Linked DNA regions of Cricetulus griseus. The protein of the gene in region 1 binds, or shares a complex with, the protein of each later gene. Links are inferred from orthologs where the notes say so. Each region holds a gene or a part of one and is shown on either strand. Other genes may lie near its edges.

Region 1 (3,654 bases):
ATCGTTTGCATTTTAAATAAATTTAAGTGGCTCTTCACTTCCTGCTCTATGTTAAGGGGCAGTCTTCTTCTGAATCAGTTGTCTTTCTTTTAATTGTTTTCAGTTTGTGTTCTTCTTTCACTGGCCTTTTATGAGAGTTGGATGTACTCAAAATTGACTATCATAACATAGTCCATGAACAATACAGATGCAGCCAGAACCTGAGACAAGTAGAAATGGGTGGGGATTTATTTGTTTATTTTTTGCATCCAACTTGTATGATTTTTCCATGTAGTCAGCCCATCATTACTAATAAGTCAAATTGACATTAGGGTGACTACCTTAAGACAACATGTGGTGGTGACAGAAATCTGACCCTTAGTATGTATGGTATTGTGTGTGTTACCCCATTATCTGGAGTCCCAACTAATTGGAATAATGCTATAGACATTTGAAAGAATGAATCACTGATAAAATCCTCTTTTGTATTTTTTGTTATTTAGATGTTTTTATGAATACAAATGAATTGTCTTCTTTAGTATTTAAAAATGTAGAGTAGCTAGGATGTAAATTGAGTATAGCATATGTCATAGAGTCTGCATTTGTTAAACTTGGGACTATAAATTTGACTTAGATTGCCTTGGTTATCTGTGGCATCTAAATACACTTTTCCGGTTAATTGCTGTCTTTTTTCTTATTAAAAATTGTACACGGAGTTGCTAGCACACACTTGATTCTTACATGATATCATCTGGAATAGTAGTAAGCCCAGTGTGTGCTTAAATACAGTCATGTCAGTTCTCATCTTGACTGAAAGGCTAACTAGAATCAGGGTGCTGATCCCATGTAGTGGTGTTGGGTTTCATGTGTTAGAGAATTACTTACATGAAAACCAAATGTAAAACCAGAAGAAGGAACTCAGGGAAAACTTTTTTTCATTTTATGAAAAATAGATGTTATTCACAGTAAATGACAGTTACTGTGCTTTGGAATTTAGAGGTAATAGGTTCTAGTTAGTTTTTGTGGGAAAAGTTGCAGAAAACCAATGGACATAGGGCCTGTGCATGCCTGTTATTTCAGTATTTGATAAACTTAAGTAAAAGGCTGTGTAAGTAGTCGGTAACTCAGACCCTATTTTCACAAAAAAGTAAGTAACAAAAAAAGGAGAAGAAAGAAAAAGTTCTTGTTTCTTTAGTTTGGCTAAGAATTATTGTTTGTTCAAGTAAGAATATAGTGTTTATGGTTTAATTTTTCAGTATTTAAGAGGGAAACAGTAAATCACAAAGAAAATTTGTATTTAAGCTTTCAAGTTAGATACATTAACTTAATTCTTCTTATACTTTAGAAATCACATAATTAAGAAGATTGAGACAGAAAATGAAGTGAAAGCAAATGGACTGAGCAGTTGGAATGAAGAAGATACAAATGATTTTAGTTTTGTGGATCTGGAACAGACATTTCCAGGAAGGAAACAAAATGGAATATTGCATCCCAGAGACACCTCTGTCATTTTTAATGGACACTCTCATAGCTCTAATGGTGCCTTAAAGACACAGGATAGCTTGGTGCCTGTGGGCAATAGTGTTGCTAGCAGGCTTTCTTTAGATTCTGCCCAGGAGGAGAAGGCAGAGAAGAGCAACACTGACTTCAGAGACTGCACAGTACAGCAGTTGCAGCAGAGCACCAGAAATACAGATGCTTTGCGGAATCCACACAGAACTAATTCTCTCTCATCGTCTTTGCACAGTAACATTAAAATCAATGGTGCTCACCACTCCACTGTTCAGGGGCCTTCAAGCACAAAAAGCACTTCTGTTGTGACTCTTAGTAAGCACTTCTGTTGTGACTCTTCAGTGCCATCCAAACCATCAGACTACAATTTTATCTCAGATTTCTATTCTCATTCAAGACTCCATCACATCTCAACATGGAAGTGTGAATTGACTGAGTTTGTCAATACCCTACAAAGACAAAGTAGTGGTATCTTTCCAGGAAGGGAAAAGTTAAAAAAACTGAAAACAGGCAGGTCTTCCCTTGTTGTAACTGACACAGGTAGATACTAAAATTGTTTTCTTCAAAACAGTTATATTTGATGATTTTGTTTCATTGGTATTCTAATCATTATAAACTTCTTAGTATAAAAAGCCTCCAGGAATGCCAGGTTATGTAAGTTAACAGTAAGTATAACACTAAACTTTGTTATTTTATGTTAGATTTAACTGTGGCTAACTGAAAATATTAGGCCATTTCAATGCTGTCAGAACTGGGATTTCAAGTATTCCTTCCTCATGTAGACTTTATACATTGTTGAAGTTTTGAACTGTATAAATATAACATTTTATATTCCGTGCCTAATCTGTGAGAATGAAGTTGTTTGGTAAGGGTAATTGTGAATTTCTTGAAGCTTACTTCATAATTCACTTTTAAAAAATTAAACACTGACCTAATTATTGTACTTAGAGTGGTAAACTTAGTGAGATTATTTTCACATCTGTGTAGATTGTTGATAATTTGTGTGTGGCTTAATGTTTGTCATCCAAATCCAACAGGAAGCTGTTTTGTGACAGTCATTACTTAAACTAGAGTCTAGTTTAGACCTAGTTTGAAGTTTCAGTTGTTTTTGACAAAGGGTTTGACGTTTTTTTTCTTTTGTGGGCGTGGCACAAAGTTCCAAGATTATGTGATAATCTTTATAACTGTGGAAAGGGAGGCATAAAGAGAAAGACGATAATGGTGTTTTAGATCCATGTGAGTTTTTTGTTGCTGCTATATTGGTTTTATATATATTTCAACATGTTTTTAGTCAAAATGATTTTTCAGTATTTCTGAAATATTTCAGAGTAATGCCATAGTTCTTATGTCTTGGTCTTTACAACCTTAAGGTTACTTAATTTTGAAAGCTTTAAAATACTTTTATGAATTAGGTCTATTGATGGGAATAAATTCATAATCTTCTATGTTGTAAGAAAGCATTTGGTAGGTATTTGGTTTATACATTCTGTATCCCTTGAATATTTAATACTATTTTGGGTTGTTTACATTTTGTTTCATGTTTTTATACAGTAGAATTGCGATTGTTGTTTGCCTAACATGTGCAAGGCTCTGAGTTTGATACCTAGCACTGCCAAAGAAAGAAAGATTATGATTGTTAAAATGTACTTGATAAATCTTTCTGAAGGTAGCATAGAGAACGGCAAGGAAGTGCAAGGGTTTGAGTTAGATAGCTTAGCTTGAATCCAAATCCTTACTCTGCCACTTTGTGCCGTGGGAACATGCATTTGCCTTTCTTGCCTGTTTCTTCTCTGCAAGAGGAGTGATAGGAATCAGTGATGTCCAGCTTATGGGTTATCCACTTGAAGATAACATGAAGATTCAGTGCCTTGCACATAGTGAGACAAAGTAAATGTCTTACAGTTAATATGTGAAGTAGCACAATTACTAGGGAGTAAGTTTAAAAAAAAAAAACTATCATAAAGCCGACAATCAAGAATATTCTCTGAGATCAGAACTTCTTGCAAGCCGTAGTTCTTAAATTTAGGTACTATACTATTACATTTAGAGCACCAGGAGGAGTAATAGTATTAATGTTATTATAAAGTAATATTTTCCAAGCTGGGTGGGTAGTGGTGGCACACGCCTTTATTCCCAGCACTTGGGAGGCAGAGGCAGGTGGAT
Region 2 (3,454 bases), on another chromosome or scaffold:
AAGCTTTCTCTTAAAAAAATAAAGTAGGTAAACACACTGACCATATGAAGTTTCATTTTTACTTGTTCCTTCTTTTTACTCACTTCATCTGCTTAACTGACTAAAAATCAAATTTAATGAACTATAGAAATGATCCTGGAAGGTATTAGCAGTGGAACCAGTATTTATCCCTAGTGTACACACAGACTTTGGGAGTCTATTCCCCATGGAGGGATACTCTCTTAGCCTAGACACATGCAGGAGGGCCTAGGCCCTGCCCCAAATGACTTGACAGACTTTTATGATCCCCATGAAAGGCCTCACCCTCCCTGGGGAGTGGATGTGGGGGTCAGTGGAGGGGCATGGGAGGATGGTAGAGGGAACCATGATTGATATGTAAAATAAGATTGTTTCTAATTTAAATAAAATTTGTAAAAAATAATAATTTAAAAAGAGGTCATGAATTTGAGAGGGACTGAGAGGGAGGGACACAGGAGAAGTTGGAAGAGAAAGAGTAAGAGAAGAAAATGATGTAAACACATTACACATGTAAGAAATTCTAAAAAAAAAGTTTTAAAATTTTATTTAAGTTATTAAATATATATGATGGTATTCAATTAAATGACAAACTTAATTGAAAATAATTTATTATTTAATGTGGAAAACAATAAAAATAAATTTCAGATGGGAGAAAACAATAAATACAATAATATCTACTTTTTAATACATTAAATCAGTTTCACTGAATTTTATAAATAATTTACATAAGTAAATCACAATCAATAACCAAAACACCACAGCTTTGGAACTGTCATGGTGAGGACAATCAGGTAAGGGACTGGCACGTCAGTAAGCTTTCAGCTCATCTATGAACAGGCTGGTAATTAAAAGTCAGGTTACAACTGTGGCAAAGGCTTTGCCCTAAGGAAGGTATCCCTCAAATATTTGTCTACTCTAAATGCACTAAGATATTCAAAGATCAAACTATAAGAAAAAAGATTCAGTTCTCTTTTTCCCTTTTTTTGCTTTTATGACACACAGTTTCTGTGTAGACCAGACTGTCCTGGAATTCACTCTGTAGACCAGGCTGGCTTCCAACTCAGAGCCTGCCTCTGATTTTCGAGTGCTGGGATTAAAGGTACCACCACCTCCTGGCAAGATTTAGTTCTTAAAGCAGTAGCAAAAGGGGATTTTTGATAAGAACTTGTGGGTGGCACCATGTTTGGAGCAACTCCTTAACTGCTGCAAATCTTTCTTCTTTCACAAATGTTAACAAAGGTGTGACAGGCATGTCACTGAGGTCAGTGCTATGCTTTCTAAGGCATGCATCTTCTGAGTTGCACATTTTCTCTTAAAGAGTAGAATGAAAATCAAGTGACAACACAACTTATCTTGTCTACTACAGATTTGTAGAAAGTTAAATACATTTACCAAGAAAAGAAATACTGCTATTTAAAGTTACTGAGTTAAAAAACAAACTATTTTGAATTGTGTACTAAAGATTTCTTTATGTGAACCAAGTGCTTATTTGTAAGGTAAAAGAATTGTAAGGAAAAACAACTAACAATAGTTTGAACAAGTCCTTCAAACACAGATAATACTGTGCATTGCTTTCATGAAGGTAACACGTGTACCCATTGCTATTTCTGTTAAACCAATGTTCTTCATAGACCTCATGGTTAAATCTAACTACAAATGCTCACAGAACACTTAAATTAGACACAAGAGCAAGTACAGCAGCATCCAATGGCACCACGGCGGCTAAGCACTGAGATGCTCATGCTGCAACTAGTGCACACAACTCAGACTCCGTAAGTATTTTATGCTCATTATAAAATAATACATCATCTTCTGACCTCCCCTTTTACTTTCATTTTAAAGCTGTCTTTAACATGACTGATTTCCAACTGATGTACACTGGAAATGAAATCTTATGGTTATTAAGGGAAATATAAAGAAATAAGTTAATATGCAGTCTACATTCCTTAAAAAGGTCATATGAGGAGGTAATATTGCACTTGTCTTCCCTAGATGAATCTTAAAAATGAGGAAGGCTAAATACACTGGTTATAAAACTAAGAATTTCAATAAGAATGTTGATAAAATGTTCAAAGTTCATTTAAAAAACATATCAAGGGTGTGTCTGGGACTTCGGGGTTTTGTTTTCTTTGATGTAGACCACTTTGTCCTCTGTCTCCGCCTGGAATGAGAAAGAATACATAACTTCTATGTAGAAGGAAATACTTGAAAATAATTTTGCAAAAACAGTTCTTAAAATGTTACTTGATTAAAGTTATTAAAGCAAAGTTTAGCCCCTTAAACTCAGATTAAACATGAGTTTGTGGCTCTCTTTACTCAAGTTCAAGATAGGCATACCTTTTTGTCCTTCCTGCAGCCTTCTGAAGTCTGCCTGTAAGGTAAAGAAAGCCAAGAAATTCCATGAGGAAAAGGTAAAATCATTGAAAAGCATCACAAAAATTAAAGAGACAAAACTGACAGATTAAATAGTATGCATATCCCAAACAATTTTTAAGAATATTGTATTACATTAATTAAATTAGTGCTTCCATGTACATGTGCACATGTATGGAGGTCAATGGACGACTTTTGGAAGTCAGTTCTTTCCTTCCATCATGTGGTCCAGAGATGAAAATCAGGTTGAAAGGCACCTACACCCTCGAGGCACAACTGCCAGCCTCACAAGGTTAATCTCATATTGTCGATCCCTTAGAATTTACTAGTTCTACTGGCATTAAACTTAATTTCTGCAATCTTGCTACAGTCAGCACTACAGAGAAACAAGTGAAAGGCTTCCTGTCTCTGTAAACACAGCCAATTTGTCACTGTGCACTAGCAGATGTTTCCCAAGGGAATTTCTTTTGTGTAGATCACTCTGATCCTTCAACTTTTAACTTCATTCTACACTGAATCAAAACTAAACTGGGGTTTCCCCTAAATTCAAAAGCTCAGTTTGAGCTATTTCTAGCCATGGGAAGGCAGAACTAATATTTTCCTCAATGAGAGCAAACCCAAGACACCTTTTTAATAGTAAGTATTTCAAACTTAAGTTTCAGGGATTTTAATAAGACATCTCTAGAAAATCACATTGCTCTTTTTTAATTTTAAGTGCATTGGTGTTTTGCCTACATGTATGTCTGTGTACTGTGTGTGCCTGGTGCCTGTTGAGGGAGGAGTTACAGATGTTGTAGGTACCATGTGGGTTCTGGGGACCAACCCCAGGTCCTATGCAAGATCAGCAAGAACTACTGCACCCCCTCCTCCCCCACTTAATAACTGCAAGCTCACCAGTATTTCTGGAGCTTTCTTTGTGTTGGCCAACTGAATTAACTTCATTATTCCTCAGTTCTTGGATAATGCCTTTATTTAAGCAAATATCCACATGCACATTGAAGAGGGTAAGGTCAGAAGTCTTCTGTTCTAGGTTACAAACAGGACAAACTAGAGCTTGTCCTGT
Region 3 (3,654 bases), on another chromosome or scaffold:
AGAGAGAGAGAGAGAGAGAGAGAGAGAGAGAGAAGAGAGAGATTCTTTATATAGTGTTACTCAAATTTTCTAGTTCTTTTTGGATCAGTTTTGAGTAAATTGTGCTTTTAAAGGAATTTATTTTCTCTAAGTGCTTGAGCTTGTTAAAGTTGTTCATAATCTAGCCTTGTTCTTAGAGTATTTGTAGACTATAGTTATGACTACACATTCCTTTATTTTTTAATTACCACTTGGTAATACATGTTTTCTTTCTATTGTAAAAGGCTTATTAATCTTTTCTTCTTAACCTATCAACTTTAGGCTTCGTTAGTTTTCTTTCCTTTCTATTGCATTGCTTTTTACTCTAATGTTTATTCCCTTTGGCTTACTTTGGGTTTACTTTATTCTTTTCCTAGCAAAAGTAGAAAAAAAAAGTTGATGTTCAAAATCAAATAAGACATAGGAACTCAATGACAGAAAGACTATGGTTTATGTGTATTTGTCTCTAACATACAACAGGCCCTTAAATTATTTATTGATGAATGCTGTAATAGAGAAAGCAGACAGGGAAGCTAAATAATGTCAAAAGAGAGTCTAGGCTTTTATGACATCATTAGAATGACTTTATGGTCTTGTCTATGCCTTTGCTCACGTTGTTCTTTCATTTTAGAATATTATCTTCCCTTCCTACCTGTTGAATATCTCCTTAGCTTTTAACAGTTGTGCTCCTCAATGTTATTTGTCCATTAAATTTTATCATGTTTTATAATGGCTAGTGCAGTTGGCCAAAGCATGTTCATCTTTTGAGGCAAGGTTTTAACTGTGTGGCTCAGGCTGGCCTCGGTTTTAGAATCCTTCGCTCTCTGCAGAAATTATAGGTGTGCGCCACTACATCTGGCCTCCGGGGGCTTTTTGAGAACAGCATTTCTTTCCTGGTCTTTGCAGTACTGTTGTTTAGCTCCTTATTTAATGCATGTTAAGTGACTGAAAGGCCAGGAGGGGGAAAGGCATTGGCAAGACTCTAAACTGGCCTACAGAGAACTGATGAAACCTTTTATATAGTGTATATATCTCCAAAGAATCATTCTTCCTGCTGGGCATGGTGGTGCACCACTCAGGAGGCAGAGGCAGGGGATCTCTGAGTTGGAGGCCAGCCTGGTCTACATAGTGAGTTCTAGGACAGCCAGGGCTACATAGAAACCTTGACTCAAACAAACAAATAAAAACAGATTAGTTTTTCTTCATCTGCTTTGTTGTTTTCTACCCTCTGGAGTTATGTCTGTGAGCTTTAAAGAAGCTGCATAGGAACAAATGCACACTTAAACATATGCATACTTTTTGTTTTGTAATGTGCTTAATTTATTCCTGATGGCAACAGGGGGAAGCGAGTAGACTTATCTGATGAGGAAGCAAAGGAAACCGAAAACCTGAAGAAAAAGAGGAGAAGAATCAAGCTCCCTCAGTCCGATAGCAGTGAAGATGAAGGTAGACATTGGTGTTAATTCTTGTTAGGGATAATTTCTTGGTTCATGCGTGAGGATCTAAAATTTTCTCTTACTATGAACTACAATGGCAGCAGTAGTACTAGCAATTAGAATATCTCTCTTTGAAATCTGCTGTAATCTTTTTATCAGAATAGTGATCATTTGGTAACTTGTGAAAATACAGAAAACAGAAAGTATGACTACTTTTACACATACTATCTAAGCCCTTTCTTTTCTCTTTAAGGCTAGTGTTCTTTTGGCTACCTTCATGTACATATTCTAGACACACCAAAAAATAAAACTGAGGTCAAACTGGAAGATCATACATAGTGTCACTGTTGAAAGGGAGTGACACTGTGGACCTGCCAGGGTCAAGATGTGGGCACTGTAGTAAGATAAGCAAGCAGAATAAACACAGGAGTCTCTACAGGGAAATTAATATGCTTTTAAAACAAATATCAAGTACTTTTAATTAAAAAAAATATGTATTAGGTGTTTCATTTACGTGTTTGTATGTGCACCATATGTATACAGTTCTCAGAAGAAGGCATTAGAAAGTGGTGAGCTGCCTGCTATCTGGGTGCTGGGAATTGAACCCAAATCCTCTGAAAGGGCAGCCAGTGCTCTTAACCTCTGCACCACCTCTCCAACCCTAATATCAAGTACTCTTAAGATCTTACCCCAAACCATGTAAAGTATATAGAAAAAAACCAAAGAGAAAGTTTCTTAGACTACATTGTGCTATCCAGGAAAGTATGCAGAGAGAATGGGGCTAAACCTGGAGCTGTCATAGCAGTTTAAAGAGAGAAGAATGATAATGCAAAAAGGAGCCTGACTGTCAAAGGACAAAACTAAAGATAAAATAATTGCTAGAAACAGTCGCTAGAGTAACTGAAAAAAGGTGATATAGCCTCTGCCCCAAAGGGCACTAACTATACAAGTGAGTGGAAAAACACACTACATTAATGTACATTGAGAAGATAGGGGCTGGGGAAATAGTTCCATCAGTAAGTGTTCGCCTCATAAGCACGAAGGTCTCTCCTGTCACCTGTGTAAGAGGTGTGCACTTGTAATCCCAGCACTGGGGAGATGGAGTCAGGCTGATCCCCAGAGCTGGCTAGGCAGTTAGCGTAGCCTAGTGAGCAAGCTTTGGATCCAGCTGCAGAGCCCAACTCAAAACACACAGGCATCTCCTGGGAACAGCATCTGTTGTTGAGCATTGTCCTCCACACATATGTATAAACATGTACACCCACACACACTTGAACATGCACATACTCCTTTTACTCACAAAGCTAAGACTTTGTGAGTAGAAACTGAATAGTCTAGTGTTACTGAAAGCGCCAGTTCTGAATTGAGTTCCTGGGTTGATTGAGCACTCTTGCATACTTCTGAAATATTCTATTGTTCTGTAGCCCACAAAATAATAATACCCAAGGGCTATTAGAATGTGACTGTGGTTGCTCAGTTGGGAAAGGACTGCAAAGAAATGTGATGGAGGTGAGCAGCACGTGACAACAGGATGACAGAGAGCAGAAGCCCTCAGGTTCTTTTCTCTGGCAGAGATAATTTTTGGCATCTGAGTGAACTTATAAAAGTCTACCATTTTATTCTATAATTTCTGTGTCTGAAAGCCAGCAGGATTTTATTTTGAACCTTTACACAGTCTCTTTTTATTTGTGTTCCACTGATTATAATAGCTTGATCTGCTGTCTCAGGCTAGTCATTAACAGATGTGCGGCAGGCGTGTAGGAGATGGCAAGGGCTCCAGAGTCAGACAGACCCAGGTTAAATCTTCCTGCACCCTTACTAGCTGATGTTAGGCAGGTGCCTTAACTTCCAGTCCCTGTTTACTCTTCTAGAACTGCAGTGTTACTACAAACTAGCTTTTTGTAGACATTAAAACAATACATCAGAAATGCCCAGACAGCACTTGACACACAGTAGCTTTTCACATTGTGCCCCTCCCCCCACTCCATCCTTATATGTGAGCCTCGGCAAATTCCTTTCACCTTCTTATTGGAAAGGCTCTCCTTCACCCTGGAAGTGCCATAAGCGCCCTTAGTAGTTCTACATAATTAAAAACAAAACAAAACTGTTGCTAGGAAGAAACAGTTTTTATGGCTGTGTTAAGTATTTGCTAACATTTTCAGTCCTCGTAGGTTGTTTGTGGAGGATATTAAGCACGTCA

What was found.
Region 2: the proteins of Rev1 (region 1) and Polk are in contact, whole or in part, in an NMR structure (PDB 2LSI), measured with the Homo sapiens proteins. The link is inferred for Cricetulus griseus from reciprocal best matches to the Homo sapiens genes REV1 and POLK. Residues at the interface, in NP_057400.1 of Homo sapiens: Asn1158, Leu1159, Ala1160, Gly1161, Ala1162, Asp1167, Leu1171, Leu1172, Glu1174, Trp1175, Thr1178, Ile1179, Met1183, Glu1185, Asp1186, Gln1189, Val1190; in NP_001374042.1 of Homo sapiens: Lys564, Lys565, Ser566, Phe567, Phe568, Asp569, Lys571, Arg572, Arg575.
Region 3: the proteins of Rev1 (region 1) and Pold3 are in contact, whole or in part, in an NMR structure (PDB 2N1G), measured with the Homo sapiens proteins. The link is inferred for Cricetulus griseus from reciprocal best matches to the Homo sapiens genes REV1 and POLD3. Residues at the interface, in NP_057400.1 of Homo sapiens: Asn1158, Leu1159, Ala1160, Gly1161, Leu1171, Leu1172, Glu1174, Trp1175, Ile1179, Met1183, Glu1184, Glu1185, Asp1186, Gln1189, Val1190; in NP_006582.1 of Homo sapiens: Gly232, Asn233, Met234, Met235, Ser236, Asn237, Phe238, Phe239, Gly240, Ala242, Ala243, Met244.

The regions. Positions count from the first base shown.
Region 1 is NW_023276807.1:10,162,003-10,165,656, forward strand, and holds part of Rev1 (DNA repair protein REV1), read left to right. Parts: intron 1-1,324; coding exon 1,325-2,031; intron 2,032-3,654. UniProt on the Homo sapiens protein: Deoxycytidyl transferase involved in DNA repair. Transfers a dCMP residue from dCTP to the 3'-end of a DNA primer in a template-dependent reaction.
Region 2 is NC_048595.1:315,165,085-315,168,538, forward strand, and holds the end of Polk (DNA polymerase kappa), read right to left. Parts: coding exon 3,286-3,454; intron 2,390-3,285; coding exon 2,356-2,389; intron 2,180-2,355; coding exon 2,095-2,179; 3' UTR 614-2,094; downstream 1-613. UniProt on the Homo sapiens protein: DNA polymerase specifically involved in DNA repair. Plays an important role in translesion synthesis, where the normal high-fidelity DNA polymerases cannot proceed and DNA synthesis stalls.
Region 3 is NC_048596.1:99,449,860-99,453,513, forward strand, and holds part of Pold3 (DNA polymerase delta subunit 3), read left to right. Parts: intron 1-1,357; coding exon 1,358-1,464; intron 1,465-3,654. UniProt on the Homo sapiens protein: Accessory component of both the DNA polymerase delta complex and the DNA polymerase zeta complex.